Linked DNA regions of Drosophila melanogaster. The gene in region 1 interacts genetically with each later gene. Each region holds a gene or a part of one and is shown on either strand. Other genes may lie near its edges. The genes, in order: CaMKII, kek6, spz5 and Oamb.

Region 1 (4,880 bases):
CATATTATAGTATGAACGAACGGAGGGAAAAGGATGAAGTATGAATCTCAATAAACAATAGTCGAGTCATTGCCACATTTACAAGCATTTGTTAGAAACTCATATTTTTAAAACACTTTTGGGGATAGGCAATTTAAATATTTGGTAAGGAGTCTATGCAGGTTAATGCTTACAGGTCAAAAACAAGGTAGTGATAGTTCTCCTCCTGTATACTGTCATGTAGCCGCACTGAAATTGTACATATTAACAATTTATTAGTTGTATACATTTGTATTTAATGTTTTTTTTTTACGGATGACAATGATTATAAGCCTTAAAGGCTATAAAAATATATGTTTATAAAATACATTTTGAACATATTATATATTTTGTCGGTGACGCTGGAGGAAGTGATGTTTCTAGATTTGAACTGTCCGTGTAAATAACTGTTTTGTTAGGTTACGCTTTTAGTGAGAGGAAAGTCTATTGCATGAGTTCGGTTTTTGCTGTTCTGCAAGTTTTTATAATTATTATAATTATAAATTACTTGGAAGATTTGTTATTGGAGAGTAGGGAGGGCGAGGAATGGAATGTTGCTTGCAGATGCGGATTGATATATCTACTAAACTCTATTTTATTTTTTTCTTCGTTGTGTTACCGTGGACGTCAAACCATCCTTTATCAGGATCACATTGCAAGTCATCAACACTACTGGGGTCTAAGCCGTGATTGAATGTACATATAAAAATTATGTATAGTAGATGTTCAAAGTGATATTAGGCCATGTTCGTCTACTTTTATGTAGATCATACATCTTCAGAAAAACGTATCTTTAAAGAATAAGTAAGTAAATTATATTTATATACACGTTGCATACCTATGTTGGGATGGTGTAACTTTCTGCAGATCCTTGCTTCACGTTCCAGTTTTTGAAAGTCTAAAAGCAAAAAAAAAAAATATATATATATATATATTATAAGCATCTCTTATATGCATACATGCATGTGTACAAATATGTTAATAAGAGGTTTTTGGCGAGCAAGCAAATGGTTCTCTCTAAGCCCAAAATTTGTCCCAGCTGTCATGCTCAAACTTCTTAAAAGTTATTTAATATATTTTTTGTAAATTACACACTTTGCCAATACTGCTATTCCAAAATTATTTTGGCCACGTCTTGGCAGTAAAAATTTATTAATTACTAAATAGCACAACACCAAGAAATACAACTTAATTACTGTAGAACTATTTGATACTTGTGTGGCAAATAGATAGGGACGACGAAGATATTACACAAAAAGAATGGTCCCTTCCAAAAGCGTACTTAGCAAAAAGAAAGTACATTTTACAGGAAAACTTTTTGACAGTCAATGTTTACTACTGATTTCTTACGATATGCCATATCGCCGTTGAAAAAACGGCATCAGATACCAGTTACTCAGCTAGTGTGAATGGGAACGCGAAATTTCATCATTTTTCTAGGATAACGATAGATATTGGGGAATAAAATAAGAAAAAAGTTTAAAAATTGGTCCAAAGTGTGGACGTGACCGGTTGGCGGCTTTTAAGCAAATCGATAGAAGTTAAAGGGCGTTAGAATGGGCGTGGCAAACTTTTTTTTGAGCAAATCGATAGAAATTTACAAGACCAATACAAATGTGAAAAAATATCAACACATTTTTCAAAAGTGAGGGCGTGGCGCATGTGGCAACATGGGTCAACAAACTTGCGCTGCGTATTTGTTTCTAAAATCTGTATGCCTTCTAGCTTGTATAGTTTCTGAGATCTCGACGACCATACGGAGAGACGGACTCGGCTATTGATCCTGATCAAGAATATACATACTTTCCAAGGATCAAGGATCTAGTATACCCTTTTACTGTACTCGACGAATTACCTAAAAACAGCACTTAGTTTCCCTACATGCGTGTGCATAGCATAAATGCGTACATATGTGATTTATAACCTACATAGAACACAGAAAGCCTTACCTCTGGCAGTTAATTTTTTTGTATTGATAATTTTTGCAGCAAATTCAAAGCCAGTTGACTTTTGGACACATCTTTTCACAATTGAGAATGCTCCTCTGAAATGTTAATAGACGGGTTATTATAATAAATTTATTAACCTTGAGTTTGTTAAACTTACTTTCCCAACTCTTCTTTGATGTCGTAATTGTCCGAAAAACGCGTACAGGCTGCTGGTGCAGCCATCGCGATGGCACACTTAAGAAAATCTATTGCGACTAAAGATCTTCAACTGCTCTACAGATTTCACTTTTCAGGAGTTTTATTTCTTGTTTTCTAAACGATTTTTAAATATAAGATAATAAATCAGTTTTACAAAAATTATACAAAAAATTGCTTACAACGTACAAACATACATACATTGTTGTACCATTTAGGTACCATGGGCCTTCTCTAAATATTATTTTGTTATAAAGTAATCACTAGCTGGTTCAAAAGTTTCAGACAGCGTTGGTTCTATGGTATCCAAAGGGGTACTGCATGTATTTGAGAATCCCCCGGCCATCATAGTATAAACTTGCATTCTTCTCTGTATAAGATCGGGCATGAAGCTCGTAAAGTAAAGCTCGCCAATGTAATTCAGAAGTATTCAGAGCACAGATTAGGTAACTTATTTCATAGAAACACATATCGGTAAAATTAAAAGAATGTCTCGCTATTCCAATTTTAAAATTCTATATTACTCAGTGGAGTCGATGCAAAACAGACCAGCAATCTACATATAGTTCTTCAAATTTTAAATGGTTTGTAATAATATAAGGGTTATGTTATTTTAAACAGCCGCAGGTTTCTTATTGAGTTGGTAATTCAAGTGAGTTCTCTTAAAGCACGTTGCTTAAACTAGAAAACTCGACCTCCATTTTGAAGATTTTGGTGGTTGAAGTTTTTTCATGTGATCATGAAATCATACGAAAAAACACCATACTTCGCAAGAAACAACATGTGCGGGGGCACAAATTGAAAAATGTCTGAAAATGTATTATCCTATCTCAAACGTTGAATCTGATACCTTGTTGTTGCCTAGAGATGACATGACATTCGATAGACGAAAAATGTAATAAACTCGATTATTAAACATAGGGGTCAACTCCTTACCAAAGCTACACTTAACTGTTCCCCATGCACATCAAAATAGCAAAGGTATCTACATATGTAAAACCATAACTCCGCGGTTAGTGCAGTGTAAACGGGCCTTACATCGATATGCATATCAACCACTCAGTGGCGTTTTCAATATCAAATTAAACTATGGCCCTGAAAAAATACGAATCCATTGCAGAATTAAAACAAGAGAAAACGCTATAGTAAAGCTTTTCGACTATCAGATAATTGTTACTCAGCTAGTGGAAGTATGAACGAGAATATTAAACATTTTTCTGGCGTACCGATTAAAATTGGCAAAACAATTTCAACAATTTTTTGAAAAAAAATAAACGAAAACTTAAAAAGGGCATGGCACAATCTTAACTTTCTAGCTTTTATAGTTCCTGAGATCGTGGAGTTCATACAGATAGACGGACATGAAAATTCGACTCGGCTATTGATCCTGGTGAAGACTATATATAGTTTAAACGCTCGGAAACGCGTCGTTCTGCAAGTTACATACTTTTCAACGAAGCTAGTGTGATAGCCAGCTGATCAAGAGCAGCAACAATCATTACTATTAACCTATATTACGTATTGAGTAAAGGAATAAAAAATGGAAATTATTTTTTCGTTTTACTTTCCAGTTATTATAGTTTCAGCGGTAACAGCGTTGATACGGACGACAGGCATGGGATAAAGCATGCAAATTTGTTTTCTTGAGAACCAGACATTTAATCCGCCTAAAACTGTAACTCCAATTTTTTTGAAAAATAATTTGCTTCTTTCAGTCTTGAAATCTTTTATTTCGATTTTGCCCACACATTTACAAAGTGTTTTGTTTTTTTGTTTCATTATTTTTATTTATTCTTTTATTTTGCACATTTCTGTCGGGTTGTTAAATAGTCGATGAACTACTGTCACGTTCTCTCTTGTTTTATACCTCTCCGTGAGGTTTGTTTTTTGCCATATCCGGTAACAGCGGTACTGTTAGTTTTTAGTTTGTTGTACGTGTTTTTTTAAAACTAGACCCAATCACCATGAAAAAGAAGTGTTTCCCTGGAAAAGGTATATGTAGACCCTTAATTGCACCCTCGCAATTTTGAAATAACATACTTATAATATAATATTGTCAAGTCAAATGTTACGAAAAGTTTAAAATTTGTGATCAAAACTTTATTATCTTTGTTTTAAACCAGATATATTTAACTCTCATTGACATATTTCAATCAATTAAAAAAAGCGACAGGTGTTTTTGGTTAATTTCTTAAAAAAGAAAATCCTGATTATGAGAATGTATCTGGGAAGCAGTTATATATATACGTACATATATATGTAGGTATGTATCCTTTGCAGGTTACATGCGTTGAAGCTTTTTTTGATGAGCTTAATGGTAAAACGCCCCACCCCTTTTAGCAAGGATATTTCAGGGTCTTGGAAATTACTTGTTGCAAATTATACTTTTTCATTAAATCATATAAACACGCGCTATGTACGCGAATTAAATATACTATTTGGATGAGACCTTCAGAAATGTTTTACTAAACCCATTTTTCGGACTAGGAGGGACGATATATAGAATGTGAAACACTTTTTTAAAATTAAAAAAAAAGCATTTATCATAACTCGTAAGTATTTAGGTATGTTTTAAACTTTCTTGTAGATATCAAGAGTAATTTGTAAGATGTATGTATATTGTGCAATAACAATTACAAAATTTTTAAGTGTCATATATTTATATTTACTGCGTAACTGAACAAAGGCACAAAATGGGGTACATACTGATGTTGTATA
Region 2 (5,033 bases), on another chromosome or scaffold:
GCTTACGGTTTTCGCCTGAAATCGATTCCCCAATCATAACTACAAGTGGCTATAATCACCTCGTCCGGCGGACAACGATTTTAACAATTGCCCAACCACTCGGACTTAAACCCATCGGTTGTTGGTTGCCGGTGGTCGGTGGTCGGTGGTCGGTTGAATGGCCAACGGCACCCGTGGTCCTGGCCATTAACTATGCAAATAATGTGCGGGATATAGACAAAATCGCCACAAGATTAATGCTTATTGATTTTCCCGGCCAGCGATAATTTGTTAGCACGCCAAATTGGCCGACAGTCGAGCGCCACTGAGTGAATGCGATTTTTCTGGCTTACTTTTCTATTTTGGGCAAAGCCATTCGAAGAATTTGATAAGCCCCTCTTGGAATTTTTCAGGACCCCAACCCCCAAAAAGTTTTTGTGGGTATTTGCATTATTAAGTACTCGCACCGCTCCCCCGATTTTCCGATTTCTTGGTGGTCGCTCGCTTTGTGGGAAATGCGAAATGGAAGATGGAGGATGGAAAATGGGTGACGACGGGTCGGTCATCCATTGAGCCGAAGGTGTCACATTGCCGGGATTTGCTTATCAGACATCAAAGGACACCTTGCGGTGCCATCGTTCCCAGATCGTTGCCATTGCAACCCGCAAACGAGAATTTGGCATGCGGAGGAGGAGGGGCAGGACTCACTGCCAAGTTTACGCATCCCTTGAAATTTTGGCTCCAGCCGAGGGAACTTACTTTCAGGTTTGTATAAATATTTTCGCTGGCTTGTTTGTCTGGTTTCGTCTGTTTAGCATTTCGGAATATTAATTAAAACAAACTTTCGGGGAATGTGAGCATTATTAAAAGGAAAGCTTACGTGAGCTGCCTTCTTCGGACTTTTTAGCCACTTCGAATCAGTTTTTGTATTTGTAAAAATGGTGCACATGAAAAACATTGAAATCTGTTTTGTTATGGAAAAATCTGGCTAAGTAAAAAAGAGCTTTGGCCACAAAGCCACAAAATGGCAAAGCAAGATTTAAATGCCTTCAAGTTGAAAGCATTTTGGGAAGGCAATTAAGGGCAAATCCTTGCAGATAAACGTATTTGCCATTTGTCTCAGCTAGAACTTAAACGAGTATTACTTTCAACTCAGTTAACAGACACATCAATTGGAATTAGGAAAACATAAAGCAAGGGTCTCTATAATCGATTTTTGGCACAGTTACTAGGTGTAAATGGGGAAGAAACTTTTACTCGAACCCAACATTCTTGCATCCAATGGATGTTGTCAACCCGAATTGAACGAAACTTAGAGAAATTTTGTTTTTTTATATTGAAGAAGGAGGCGAACCCATCGGAAGCCCGGAAAAGAAAATGTATTAGAAAGGGTCTATAATTCGTCTGTTTCCTCAAGAAGTCCTTGAAAGGAATCCCCAAAATGGAAGCCTGCGGTCCTGGGCAGCATTACCTGGATTTACTTAGCACAACTTCAAAGGAAGGACACTTTCTCCCGCGGGAAGTGGCGCTCCCCCAATTCGTCCTCACTCCGCCCGACTTCTTATTTACTCTTCATCTCTTTATTTCACCGAAATTAGCTGGAAGTGAAAACGAAACCGAAACAGCAAAAGAAATAGAAACTAAACGAATATCGAGCGGCAACAAAGCCATCGCCAAACGCAAAGCAGAACAGACCCCATCCCATCCCATCCAATCCCGAAAACCCGGCCAGACCGAAGTCAACCTACTTTTGGACGCAACAGACTACGCCAGAGCCGAGCGAGTATCCTATATGTGCCATGTAAGTGCACAAGGAGAAAAAGCTGGCAGCTTCGCTCTGTGGATTACTCTGCCAATATTTACTCAACCCTTCCTGTTGTTTTGCGGCGCCATAAAATTCCCAAATATTGCAATTCAATTAACACACGCCTACAGATACATATGTATATGCCATTATACGATAATGTAAGATAAATAATACCGCCTCTCCTTGTGAAAAAGGATGTGGATTTGGGGTTTGAAGAGCCGATACCCCATTTCCATTTGAGCCGTAGGGATTTATTTGGGAACACGTTGGATGGAAATTCACAAAATTGCACAAACTCCAAGACAATGACCGTAAAGCACAATTCCACCATCAATTTTTCAGTCCAAAATAAAGTAGTATCCACTTTTTTCTGCCCGTGCACGAGTTCATTCGGTATGCGCCCAGATGGCAAGCGTGGAGTGGGTTTTTCGGGCAGACGGGCAGGCGGACGGCGAGGAGGACGTGTGGCACGAGGGGGACAAACGGGCGCCCTGCGGCGGATTATTGAATTTTCCAGCATTCTCCGCTGACACTTGGCGCCTAATGCGCTACCGCTTACCTTCGCCTACTGCTGTTGCTCCAGTCCTTGTTGCTGCTACTGGCTTGCTCCTGCGTCCTGCGTCCTGCGTCCTCCGCCTTCTGCTGCTCCGGCGGCTGCTGCTTACCGATTCACTGGCTCTGACGGAAATTCCAATGGAATTTGGCATAATTTACATATCTCCGAGTGCTTGGGCCAAGCGGGCCAAATGCATTGGACACGGTGTACAGGAGTGCGTGTGTGTACCCGATTTTCCGTTTATTTTCCGAGTGCTCCGTCTTTCACCGAATATCCGCACTTTTTTCCCAGGCCCGATTTCTGGGCCGCTGGGCGAAAAATCAAAAACGGCGCGCGTGTCGTACCGCTTGCTACATCCACTGATTTGACGCGCGACCCACGCACTTGCAACACGCGACACACGAGCACCGGGAATCGAACGTCGAGAGTCGAGAATCGAGGAACTGGGGGGCTATGAAGTTGGTTTTTTTGGGGGCACCGAGGGATGAGGGGGCAACTAAGATGAATGTCAATAAAAATGATTCTGCTCTGCACTGCAGTTGGCCTTTTTTCAGCTGTACCACCGAATTCACCTCTTGGCTTTCTGTTTTTCTCCCCGTTTTTTTTTTCGGTCTGTCCCGAGTTACTGTGATTCAATTACAAATCCCAGACGAAAGTCCTGAGGATAGGAGCGCCGGGAAGTGGTTTTCTCGCCACGCGAAGAATCCGTACTGAAGATACAGATATGGCCTGCGAATTGGCAAGTCAGAACTCGCCACAATTCATCTCGCAGCATGGCTGCTGCGCAAAATCCGGGATCTGCGCCTGCGCCGCTCTCCCGCGCTCTCTCTCTCGGACTTTCTCTCTGCGACTGTCTCTCCGCATTCTCCGTGGTGGGTATGTGTGTGTGCCACGCTCGTTGGAATGCTATAAAAAAGGAAACGTTAGAATGAAATGAAAATGTAGCATAATTTATGACTGCATCGTCTTTTAAATAATTGCACGCACACACACCTACGAACCTACACCCTGCCCACCGCCTTAAATATTAACATCCACTCACCTAACGACCGACCGCCTAAAAACACCCGAGAATCCTAATGGCCATGTAAATATGCATTTTTTTATATTCCATACGACTTTTTAAAATGTCTTCCAAATTGGTTACGGGTCAATGGTGTTTGAACGTTCCAAGAATGAAAGCGATACGAGAAGATTTACGAGGAAATTTGATAAACAAATCATGAGCAAATAATTGTCCTGCTGTCTGCCCAAATGAATAGTTGTCAAATACTTAAGAACTCTACTTTTTTAATTGGTATTGCAGATAAAGATCTTAGACGAACATCTCTATACTCAAATATAAAGGACTGCGTTTTTAATAGTATTTTATTCAAGCTTATATTATACAAGTGAAATTGAACCCCTAATCTTAGCTATTGCAAGCATGAACTACTTATATTTGGCAAATTTAGTGATGAATTTACCTTAATGTAAAACCACTTGATAGGCAATTGTTCTTCATTTTTGGCCACTTGCTAAAGCCACTTCAGATTAACCAGCTCAGATAGATGAAGCCGATTTGAAATCAGTTCGTATGCCTCTAGAGAACGCGTCGTTGTTGTCATTAGCTTTTCGAATATGGAAATGGGTGGGTAACTAAGAGACTAGGAGGTTGTCATGCACTACTAGAGAATCAATGTTGGCGAGAGAGATGTGTGTTTCCCAATCAAAGTTCCACGTTGTTCAAATTGGACCCGGAGGAAGTGGGCAGATCGACGTCGCTTGGCGGCACAAAAGTGCCCATGGTTAGGACGCTCTCCTGCTTGGCACACAGTTTCAACATCTCGGATTTAAGTTTGTCCAGTATGGCGTAGTTGGGTTGGTTGACTGCCGCCTTGCTCTGCAGCACGGTGATCTCCTGCTCCTCCAGCTTCTTCTCCTTGAAGGTCTTTATGGAGTTGTTGCCGTAGAGGCGCAACAAGGAACCCCAGGTCTGGATGTGCGGATGCAAAATCTGACGAAAGGTTAACTCAATAGCTATAAGTAAAGTTATAAAGAAATATCAATGCTCACCTGGAGGATTGCTTGCGAAGCCAACTGCTTGCCCTCCCGCTTGTTTTTACACACCACTTTGGCAGTATGTTTGCCCACGGTCATGGTAAACTCGTTCTTGTTATTCGCGGTGCGGTTGATCTCCTGGCTGATCTGAACATCGCTGCCGTAGTTGCGCTGCAAGCAAGTCAGCAGAATGGCGTTGGGAGATGGCTCCGTCGTCTTGTTGCAGAATTCGGTGACTCGGGGATCTTCGATGCGGATGTCATCGAAAACCTGCAAGAAATATAAAAATAAGAAGTGGTTCCATTTTCTATAGGTAGATTGCTTACAGACAGATCGCTCTGCGCTTTCTTCGCAGTGCCGCTCTTTTGGTCCTTATTGTTGCCCGTTATCTTGTCCTTGACATCGGGAATGAGTATTTCCAGCGTTTCCCGAGCCGCCTCTGACTTGGCCTGCTTTTTACTGGTGCCATAGCCCGTGCCATACTTGAGATTGTTCACCGATACGGTGGCGGAGTAAGGCGTGGCTGCGTTTTGGAGCTCCTTGAACTCATAGGTGGGCTGCGTTTTCAGAGCATGCTGCACGTACTCGTGCAGGATGCAGACGAAGCTCTTGCCATTGGGATTCATGATCCACTCCTTCCGACCGCGCGGG
Region 3 (4,646 bases), on another chromosome or scaffold:
TGGCCAACCGGCGGCATTGAGTTGGTGGACCCAGCCCCTAATTAACCCTTTCGCAATTGCAGCTAAGCCTTAAAACGGCGGTGGGAAGTTGGGGGAGTGGCCCCTCCACGTGTTATATACATATGTAGCCGCGATAGTTTTAGGTATAAAATGATACCTTTGGTCCCGATACCTTGGGCTCGGAGTTTGATTAATGAGCGGCTTAAGTGAATCTCAAATCGAATCTGAGCCTGCTCGGCCGGCAGACTGATGAAGTCACTAATTTGACTTAAAAACGCATTAAAAACCATTTTCGATAAGAGCTTGGAGCCCCATATTGTGATTTCGGCGAGGGTTTTCCCGTACTTTTCTGTCTAGGTCTCGTCTTTGTGAAAGTTGTGCAAAATTGGAGCCAAGAAACCAAAATTGAACGATGAAGCACCCAAGGCGACGGATAAAATTCCAAAACCGCCTCGGAAGATTTGAGAGTGCAAATCTCTTGCTATTGGCAATCAGCTGTAAACATAAATAATGTTCGAGTTTGCGGAGAGTGGACTAACTGGATACCCAGTGAGTAAATCATGTAACCATACTCATTTTTATCACTAATTATCGAATTTAAATAATTCATTTCATTTTCTGAAAATCTTGAAAATCTTACTAGATATATTTCGGTCTATTTGGCTTATACTTTGAACCATAAAAATAATTTAGGCCTTTGATAGTTTAAAACTATTTTACGGTATACATCTCTTTCAACCTTTTTAAAAATTAAATTTATTTGTTTTTTTCTAATTATGTACACACATATTGCATATTCAATACTTTAAAATAAATTGACAGAGAAATTACTGCTCAGCGCTTTCTTCTTGGTTAAAAAGTATTGTAAATATTTATTAGGAATGAAAAAAAAAAAAATAATTCCCAATATACCTGTGCTGAAATATTACCCATAATTCCAGCTTTGGCAACGCGCAAAATTGATTTAAATGCCTTCGACGAGAGACAAAATCGGAGGTAACTCCTACAATTGTGCGTGGTCTTGGCCATTAAAAGCCTTTTCTTGCCAACATTCAATGTCTGTGCCGGAGGCAGCGCCAAATCAAATCAACGGCAGCAGTCACAAATCTGCGACAGATAAAAGCTGTTAACTGACCTTCATTGGCCATAAAAATCCAAATTCATCGCCCGAACAATGCGCCGTATCTATGGGCCAAAACCGGCGGCAACGACGAACAACAATTGGCGAGCAGAAAAATTAACAATTTAAATAAATTCACTTTATTGCAGTTCGCATATTGGCGACAATGTAAAATAAACAATAAAAGTGGTCAATAAATAAGGCCCACGTCATATCGAATGGCCCGAACCACTGGACTTCCGGTCTTGAATCGGGCCAAAAAAGAAAAAGAAAACCGCACCACATATCACATTATACTATGTGGCCAACGACATGAATCACGGGCCAAAAAGTTCAAAGTTGAGCGGGCTAAATTGAGAGATTAGCCTGGGAGATCAGAGCCGGCTATATCTTTTGCTATATAGCTCTGCTCTGACCCAAGCTCTGCTTTTCTCTGCCTCTTTTCCCGAGTTTGCGGCTCTGGGCCGCTGTTAACTTGGCTAAGACCGCTCAGTTGGCTACGAGCTGCCGCCGTGAGCATTGGCAAACGCGTGAAACGGAAAAGACGAAAACGAAATCGAAATCGAAAACCTAAAGTCCAAAAACCGAAATATCCGCGCTCTTCGGTACGTGTTAAGTTTTTTAATTAGTAGAATTTTCAAGTGAGTGTTCGGTGGCAAAAAAAGAGAAAATATTTCACTGAAATACAAAGAGCATAGCTAAGCTCGACAAAAGTGCACATAGTGATCAAAAACATTTGCCAAATACTGTGAAGCAAAAACCCAAACAAATCTACAAGCCGCACACTAGGTGAGTAATTATTAAATTGAATACTTTAATTCCCGCCATAAGTTAATAAATTTCATTGGTTCGTCATCGCAGCTCTGATTTATTATAACGCTTGATTGTTTTCCTTCTTTTTGTATACACTTGTAACCAAAATGTTAGGAAACCAGCAAACACAAATTAAATCAAAGCGATCACAAAACAAAATCCACAAAAAATGCAGACAACACTTTGGGTAAATACAAACAAAATATAATCAAGTGGGGAGAAAAAACCTTGAAAAGTCGTGCTTAATTTCTTAGCTAAATGCAGGCATAAAATATATGTTTAAAAAATTATAATGAAGCTCAGCTATTTGTCTGCCTCCAATCGAATCCATTGTTTTAGTCCCTAAATTAGCTTCAAATAACCCAACCTCTTTGTGAAGGAAAATAATTCAGAGGCTTTGGAAAAAATGCCCGAAGCAGAAGTCTGTCTCTTTGATAGTTTATTTAATGGATAGAAGTAAGGATAGATATTGTGGAAAGTATACAAGTTTACCAATTAAATAAACTAGAGAGCTTAAAACTTTCCTGTGTCAAACACTCGCGTAATAAAAACTTAATAAGCAATCATTATTATTAAATAGCTTTATAATTAATTAGCAGCATTTCGTTTCATTCAGCTCTTTTTTTTAGCCTGCTAATGCTTCAATTAGATGCCAACAAAATATTTTATCCCCTTAAAAAAGTGCCAATCGGGTGAATAAGTGAGAATGTCTGGGCGAGACAAAGATAAAGATCTGACAATCGATCATTACTCAGGCGGGATATAATTAATTAAATATAGATAGATGATTTTGCGGCCAAATCATTCAAATAAATTGAATGGGGCCCAGCGATTTTGAGCACTCAATTTCGAAAATGATGCCGCAGCCAATGGATTAGCCGCTAAAGCTTGGTCAAAGATCTTTAACAATTTCATTAACTTTTGGCCCGTCGGCCTAATGATGTGCAAATGGCCCAAAACACACCATAAAACACGCTGCCACTAAAGTTGCCAAGGGAAACAATGCCAAAACCCATGTCCAACTTCTTTTGGCTGCTCTGTGATTTATGAGGTGATCGCCTGGCGCAACTTTGGCATCGGGGAAATACCAGCAATACGTGGGTGTAGCCATGTGCAAGACTCCATTAGCAGATCGCAGACACTAAATCTGGCTTCGATGCACAGCAGAAAACATGGTTGGAAACGTGGTTTCAAAATACCTAAGCTATTTTAATCTCAGAGAAATATGTGTTATTATATGTATATATAAAATTGTATAAGCATTTAAAGCCCAGCTCAACTACTAAACAACATTTTGTGTTTCAAACTTCTGTTTGATACTTTAATATGCCGTGAATGTTCATTTATTATAATTGTTTTCTTTATTTTTTCATTTTTAATATTATTAATATAATTATTTCCTGTGTACCTTGACGGACACTTTGTCATTGGCTCTTGTTTGTTGACTGATTTGTTTTGCTTGGCTCGTGCAAAAGAGCCTGTGATCCCGGAAATCCTATCGCAGCTTGTGGCAGGTGTTTTTGTATCGGTATAAATTCCAATTGATTCTTGAATGCTCGCTGTTTTTACAGGCACCCCATGTCTGAGTGTTAAAGGCAATTGTTATTGCTTTTTGTTCTATAAATAATTGTGGTACACATTATATTGAAACTATAGCAAAACTTGACACGAAATCCGGTTTTTACCATTGACTGTGACAGCTTTAGATTTGATCACTTGTTAGCATTGTTACATTATAATAATTAAAATATTTGTATAACATTTTTTGTTAATTTTTAGCTCACTTTCGTTAGTTATGTCAGCTGTTAATTAACATTTAATTACGGGATTTTTAATTTTCCCAGATTTTAAAAGTTGATTTCATACGGGAAACATGTTGGGAATTTTTCTTTGAGCTTCTTGTTCATATAAAAGCATTGCTAACTATCGAAATCTAGTCAAAGTTATCTCATAGTTTCCGCAATAAAAACTGCTTGTATTATTATATATATATTCTCTCCAACAGTTGGTAATATATCACTTTAAATATGCAAAATATCTTGCATTGATCTAAACTTAAATTGTCTATAAAACATCCGATTTAAATACCGGCATATTGAAATTCCGTTTTAGAGTCCTAATAAATCATTAGAGTTTATAAGTATTGTCATTAGCTGACAGCTCGGGTCGCCAATTGAGAACGCCCCCACAATGCATGGGGCGTGTCCAGTCCATTATCTTCGCGGCGTATACTTAATCTGCGTATACTTAATCTTGTTGTCTGGAGCTTGTTCGTCACTTTCACTTTTGGCAATTTATTTTCGCTATTTACGGGAGTTGTTCGAGTTGTTTGGCTGTTGTTTGCTCAAGAGGCTGTCGGTGGTGTAGTTCGTGTTTGTGTTATTGTTTTAGTTGTTGATTGTTTAACTTAACAATAAGCCCAAGTGAACTGTGGGCAACAAATAAGCACTTTGAAGCATTTCCGCTGCGGAAAAACCATCACTTATTGTCTGTTTCGTGTCCCAATGGAAATGGTGCGAGAAATGGTCGTGTATTTGCCATTTTTTTGCGACTAATATTTGACCAAATAACTCATGGCAGTTTCTCTTTCGCTTCAGGTTTCCGAATTCACGTTGAAGACACTGGCTGAATCGCAATCGAGTCAAATGCAAATGCAAATCGACGGCGAATGAATTGACAATGACAAAAAGTATTAAACGTCCGCCCCCCTTTA
Region 4 (4,693 bases), on another chromosome or scaffold:
ACGTCCAGCTCGGCTGCCACTTGGGGCAGAGCTCTCACTTCAAATTTCCCAGTTCCCAGTTCGCACTGCTTCCTGTTTCCAGCTCCCTGTGCTTGGCCAGGCGTGAAGATTTCCATAGCTGGACACACGGGCACTGTTTTAGAAGTGCTTTCAATACCATGGTCAAAATGGGAATGTCCATAGAGTTTTTAGCGTACCATTTTTCGAAACAAATGAATAAATGATTTTTTAGTTATCAATGGAGCTTTTAATAATAATACTTTTATGAGAAATTCCATTATAAAATAATATTTTCGTTTTACTTAATTAATAATTTATTTTAGACATAAAATATACTGCTTTAATGCAACGTACTTTTCTATTTATCTGCAACATGGCCCAAGAATTTGTTTTAAGTGTACTCTGATAGTAAAATGGAACAAGATGGTGAGCTAATGCGTTTTATCTGCTCAAAAGGACGTAGCTCTATAAAGTAATGAGAGACTCACGATGAAATGCATACAACAATAAAAATGTTGTATTTTAAAGTATCTTTATTTCAAAACGCTTATACTTAGGCTTACTATCAGTTAAAGCGACGGGTTTGGGAAAGCTGGCTAATTAATGCCTCCGAGTCGTGACTTTAGCCGCATATAGGGATGTCTGAGTGGCATTAAATAAAAGTCGGGCTGACTGGAATTTCACACTTAAAGTTGAAATAAATGGGGATCCATTTGAAAACCTAATTTATTACTACATTTCCCAGCCGTTCGGCTGGCAACCCATCCTTCCGTCGGCCAGTCTGTCCGTGTTATTGGGCCGGGCTGTCCATTGTGACCCTGTCAAAACAACTTCCATTGTTTGCCCCCATTTCACCTGTCAACTGGCCTTTGTGTCTGCTAAGCTTCACACTTGGTGGGGGAAAACTCGGAAGATGGGCGAAGGAACTCTTGCCGAGTGGTAGATGGGTCGCACTTTGGTTTCCATTGTCAACAAGCCAGCCAATTTAGTTAATTAGGCTACCGAAAGTGAATAAACAAAATCTGTAACCAAAGGCGGTCAACAGCCACGTGCTAAGCCCTGTGCAAAAAAAAAAATAAAAATAAAAACAAAATAAAAAAGCGAAATAAAATAAAACCGCAAAAATGCACAAAACACTTGACGAATTTTTTCGTTTTGCTTCGTAATTTGTATGCCGCGCGCCTTTTCCCCCCAAACTAATTGCGTCGTCGCCTTCGGAGATGTTGATATGGGTTTGTAATTAACTGAGACTATGGATTTATGGCCAGTACTGTTTGGCACTAATACCCATTCTCATTGCCCAAACATTGCTTTGGGGTTTCTGCTGGTACCGATTCATTATTTGGGTGCAAATATCTCGAATACAACTTGTAGATCCCCTGATCAGCAAACAAAATGAACATATGCAAGCATAAGAAATGCATTAATATAATGAGTTGCGCTGTTATAATAAATCAATTTTAACGCCTTAAAGCTTCTAATCTATTAATAGAGTTTTTTTGTCCACTACTAAGTAAGTATTATTTTATAAAATAGGAGAAGCTACTGGTATAGTAAAAAGTCTATGACTGAATATATATTTGAACAGGTTAATGATAGTTTTATTACCAAATGGTTTTAAAATATAATTTTGTATTGCCTCAAATATTGTAGTTGAAATAAATGATTTTCAGAGATTTGAATTAAATATTCAAACTTACAATATCTACAATTAGTTGAACTTCGAAAAGTGTCATAAACTCGAGCAGACTCACCTGCATAAATCATCGCGATGTCGATGGCGGTTGTGATCTGAGTTTTCTGGGCGAGATTAGCGAGAGCCCGTCACCGAATCGCTTGGAAAATCGGTCAAGTTTTTGTTTGTTGCTGGTTTTCCGATGCACTTGCTGGCGTTAACCGGCTCACCAGATAGCTATATATTTTCAAAAGCTATTGCTATATCGACTTGTTGCCCCGGGTCTCGTGTGCTCTCGCTCTCTTTGGCCAATTAATTGGTTGTCATGCGTTGAATAATTGCACGCATTTTGCCTAAAATCTCCATACTCAGCATTTGGTTTTCGATATTCACTACTCAGTTTTGCAGTGCTTAAGTTTTAAGTGTTTAGTTTTCAGTGCTTGGTGGTTTGTTGATCTTTTCGATTGGGCGTGACTAGGCCGGGTTTTGTGAAATTAATAGTTTGTTTGCGCTAGAATTTGATTGAAATATGTTTTATTTGTTAATTGCATGGATTGGCAACGGCAACATTGCACTGGCAATTTATGGCAAACCAATTATTTGCTGTCATTACTCAAGCAGAGCAGACACAAAGGCGAAGGAAATGCAGTTCTGATCTGCTGACTGACATCATCTATAAACAGAAATATTTATTTTTGCATATATGCTAATGTCACAGCGGGACAATTATGAAAATTGCACTTTGTCAATGCTATGTTTGTTTCGGCGACAGCAAGGAAAATTGTTTGCTAATGAGCGAAATTACGAAATGGAACGAAAGCGAGCGATTTGATTAGGCGAAACTAGCACGGCGCTGAAGAAAACCCCATTAAATCACATAAGACACATTCACACTCGTCTCACACTCGCGAATTCATTATGAATGCACTCACTCGCTCGTCGCGCTTATTGCGAATTTTAATATTTCGGTTTTTTGGCCAAAAGGCACGTAGCTGCCTCGAGCTTTAGTTTTGGTTATCAATCAGCTGTAATTATAACTTCAATATATGGCTAACATCCTTTTGCTTCGATCGAGGACTCAACAGGAACTGAGTTCGCAAAATGGTGCAAAACAGCTGTTGTTCGCGATCACGAGCACTCGGACTCGCACTCGGCGCTTCGGCAACTCACACACACGCACAAGGGCACACACCCACACAGCGCACCCTTACACTAACACCCACGCAACACTGTTAGCTACCGTTATGTGCCGTCGGCAAGAACCGTTAGTTCTGGCCAGTTTTCTCCGCTCGTTCGAATTGGCACGACCGACGCGGCAGAATTTTCAACACGAACTGAATTTTCAGCGCGAACTGTGCGTTCGAAATTGTTCGTTCCGGAACGAATGGAAAGATGGAAACGTTGGAGATTGGAACATTAAAACTTGAAACAGCAGGAAGAGAAACAGCGCTCGGTAGAAAAGCAGAATTTGTTGAACAGCGCGCAACAGTCGCTTGGAAATAAAATCGCATGCGATATTTGCTGTAAGAGCCAAGACGTCTGATTAATTATAATCCCTTGATTCTCCTAATCTGCATTCGCCTGCAGCCAGTTTGAAATTCCCTTTGATTTGCGACGCTTTCTGGCTTGTTAACCTTTCGGCCAGACAAACAGCCAGTTGGCCATGGCAAATAAAAGAAGCCACGCATAATAAATTGGTAAATTCGGAGCAGTCAAAAGGATGGCTGGACTGCTAGAAAAAAAGGACACACACTTGCCCCTTTTTTGATGGGCATCCGCTCAGCCTTATTCTGATTGTACCATCCGCTGATATTTCTAGCAATTTCATTTTACGACAAAGTTGGTCGACTTCAATTTGCCCAATTTTCCATTAGAGCTGCGAGGTATTTTTTGTATTTTTTTTTTACGATTTTTCGCCAAGTATTTGGCTTACAATCCCGCCATGACCAATACTCTATTCAAAACTCATTATGAAGCTCCATTGAAATCTTGAAAGCTGAGTAAGTGGCGGGCACTTGCCATGAAAGAGCTGTTGCGGTCATTATTCACTTGATTTCTGACCGTTTAATCGACTCACATTCCAACTTTTATCTTACTGACCTTTTGGCCCCGTTTAGTCTAGCCCAGTAATAATGATAAATGAAAAGAGAACGCCTCGGGCTCATCCCCAAAACTCCTGCCAACCTCCACTGGCATGTGTGTGTTTGTATCGTCTCTAATTAGGATAAACAGATGTTGCCCAAAAATTAATTACACATCACGAGCACTGAACAGCCGCCTAGTTTCCTTTCCCAACTGCTCATTAGTCCTTGGGACTCGTGATCAATATGACCGCCATCATAGTAATTATATCCTTTCGCTGTCTTTCTGCTACAACTACTGTATCTATATCCTGCTTCCATTTCCTGGCGGTCTGCAAATCTCACTTGGCGAGAAACACAGATGCCTTGCAGCACGTTTAACTTGGATTTGCATAACTAGATGAACAGATGAATTCACAGGACCTCGTTATTTTCTGCTTTTTCTGTTCTCGCGGAGATTCCACTTTCTTACCTCCATGACTAAAATTTAAACCATGAATAGATAGAGAAAACACAATGATTTCTGCGGCAGAATCTGTTGTTATTTTTAGCCCTTCAGGATCCTGCATTTGGCTCGGGATTTTTCAGGAATTCCGGTTGGGTCTGCAACGCATTTCATTCTTCAACCAAATCGGATTTGCAAAATTTCCATCGTCTGGCCAGATAAAAGATGCGAAATCAATTTGCAGGCAGAATCGAACAAAGGAATGGGCTGACGTGGCCCTATGTGAAAGCTGGAAGCCCGGGTATCCCGCAGCTTTCAGAGTTCCTCACTGGGAAGTGCCCGAAACTAAGCTCCGGCGTCAGATTGCGCCTTCTGTCAGTCAAAGGCAAACACCTGTAATAAATATTCGTTTGTTGTCTTTCGTTCGCTTCGCTCGCTCGGTTATCCTGGATTTCTCCTGGCGCTGCGCTGTCACAGATACATTTTGTCTGC

What was found.
Region 2: of CaMKII (region 1) and kek6, changing one suppresses a phenotype caused by changing the other (phenotypic suppression), as found in Drosophila melanogaster (one study listed by BioGRID).
Region 3: of CaMKII (region 1) and spz5, changing one suppresses a phenotype caused by changing the other (phenotypic suppression), as found in Drosophila melanogaster (one study listed by BioGRID).
Region 4: of CaMKII (region 1) and Oamb, changing one suppresses a phenotype caused by changing the other (phenotypic suppression), as found in Drosophila melanogaster (one study listed by BioGRID).

The regions. Positions count from the first base shown.
Region 1 is NC_004353.4:1,048,331-1,053,210, forward strand, and holds the start of CaMKII (Calcium/calmodulin-dependent protein kinase II), read right to left. Parts: upstream 3,049-4,880; 5' UTR 3,013-3,048; exon of another isoform or gene 2,364-3,012; intron 2,280-2,363; 5' UTR 2,190-2,279; coding exon 2,125-2,189; intron 2,063-2,124; coding exon 1,968-2,062; intron 917-1,967; coding exon 857-916; intron 229-856; coding exon 174-228; intron 1-173. UniProt on the Drosophila melanogaster protein: A key regulator of plasticity in synaptic physiology and behavior, alterations in its activity produce pleiotrophic effects that involve synaptic transmission and development as well as various aspects of behavior. Directly modulates eag potassium channels.
Region 2 is NT_033777.3:31,620,135-31,625,167, reverse strand, and holds the start of kek6 (kekkon 6), read right to left. Parts: upstream 3,033-5,033; 5' UTR 2,346-3,032; intron 1-2,345. Other genes in the region: pasha (partner of drosha), read right to left, coding at 4,051-4,338, 4,398-4,652, 4,709-5,033.
Region 3 is NT_037436.4:2,889,130-2,893,775, reverse strand, and holds the start of spz5 (spatzle 5), read left to right. Parts: upstream 1-1,609; 5' UTR 1,610-1,909; intron 1,910-4,530; 5' UTR 4,531-4,612; coding exon 4,613-4,646. UniProt on the Drosophila melanogaster protein: Neurotrophin which may function as a ligand for the Toll-related receptors Toll-6 and Toll-7. Binds to Toll-7 and Toll-6, and probably acts as their ligands in the promotion of motor axon targeting and neuronal survival in the central nervous system (CNS).
Region 4 is NT_033777.3:20,711,565-20,716,257, forward strand, and holds the start of Oamb (octopamine receptor in mushroom bodies), read right to left. Parts: upstream 3,014-4,693; 5' UTR 2,916-3,013; intron 2,187-2,915; 5' UTR 1,755-2,186; intron 1-1,754. UniProt on the Drosophila melanogaster protein: Receptor for octopamine (OA) which is a neurotransmitter, neurohormone and neuromodulator in invertebrates. Stimulates intracellular accumulation of cAMP and Ca(2+) following ligand binding. Required for ovulation.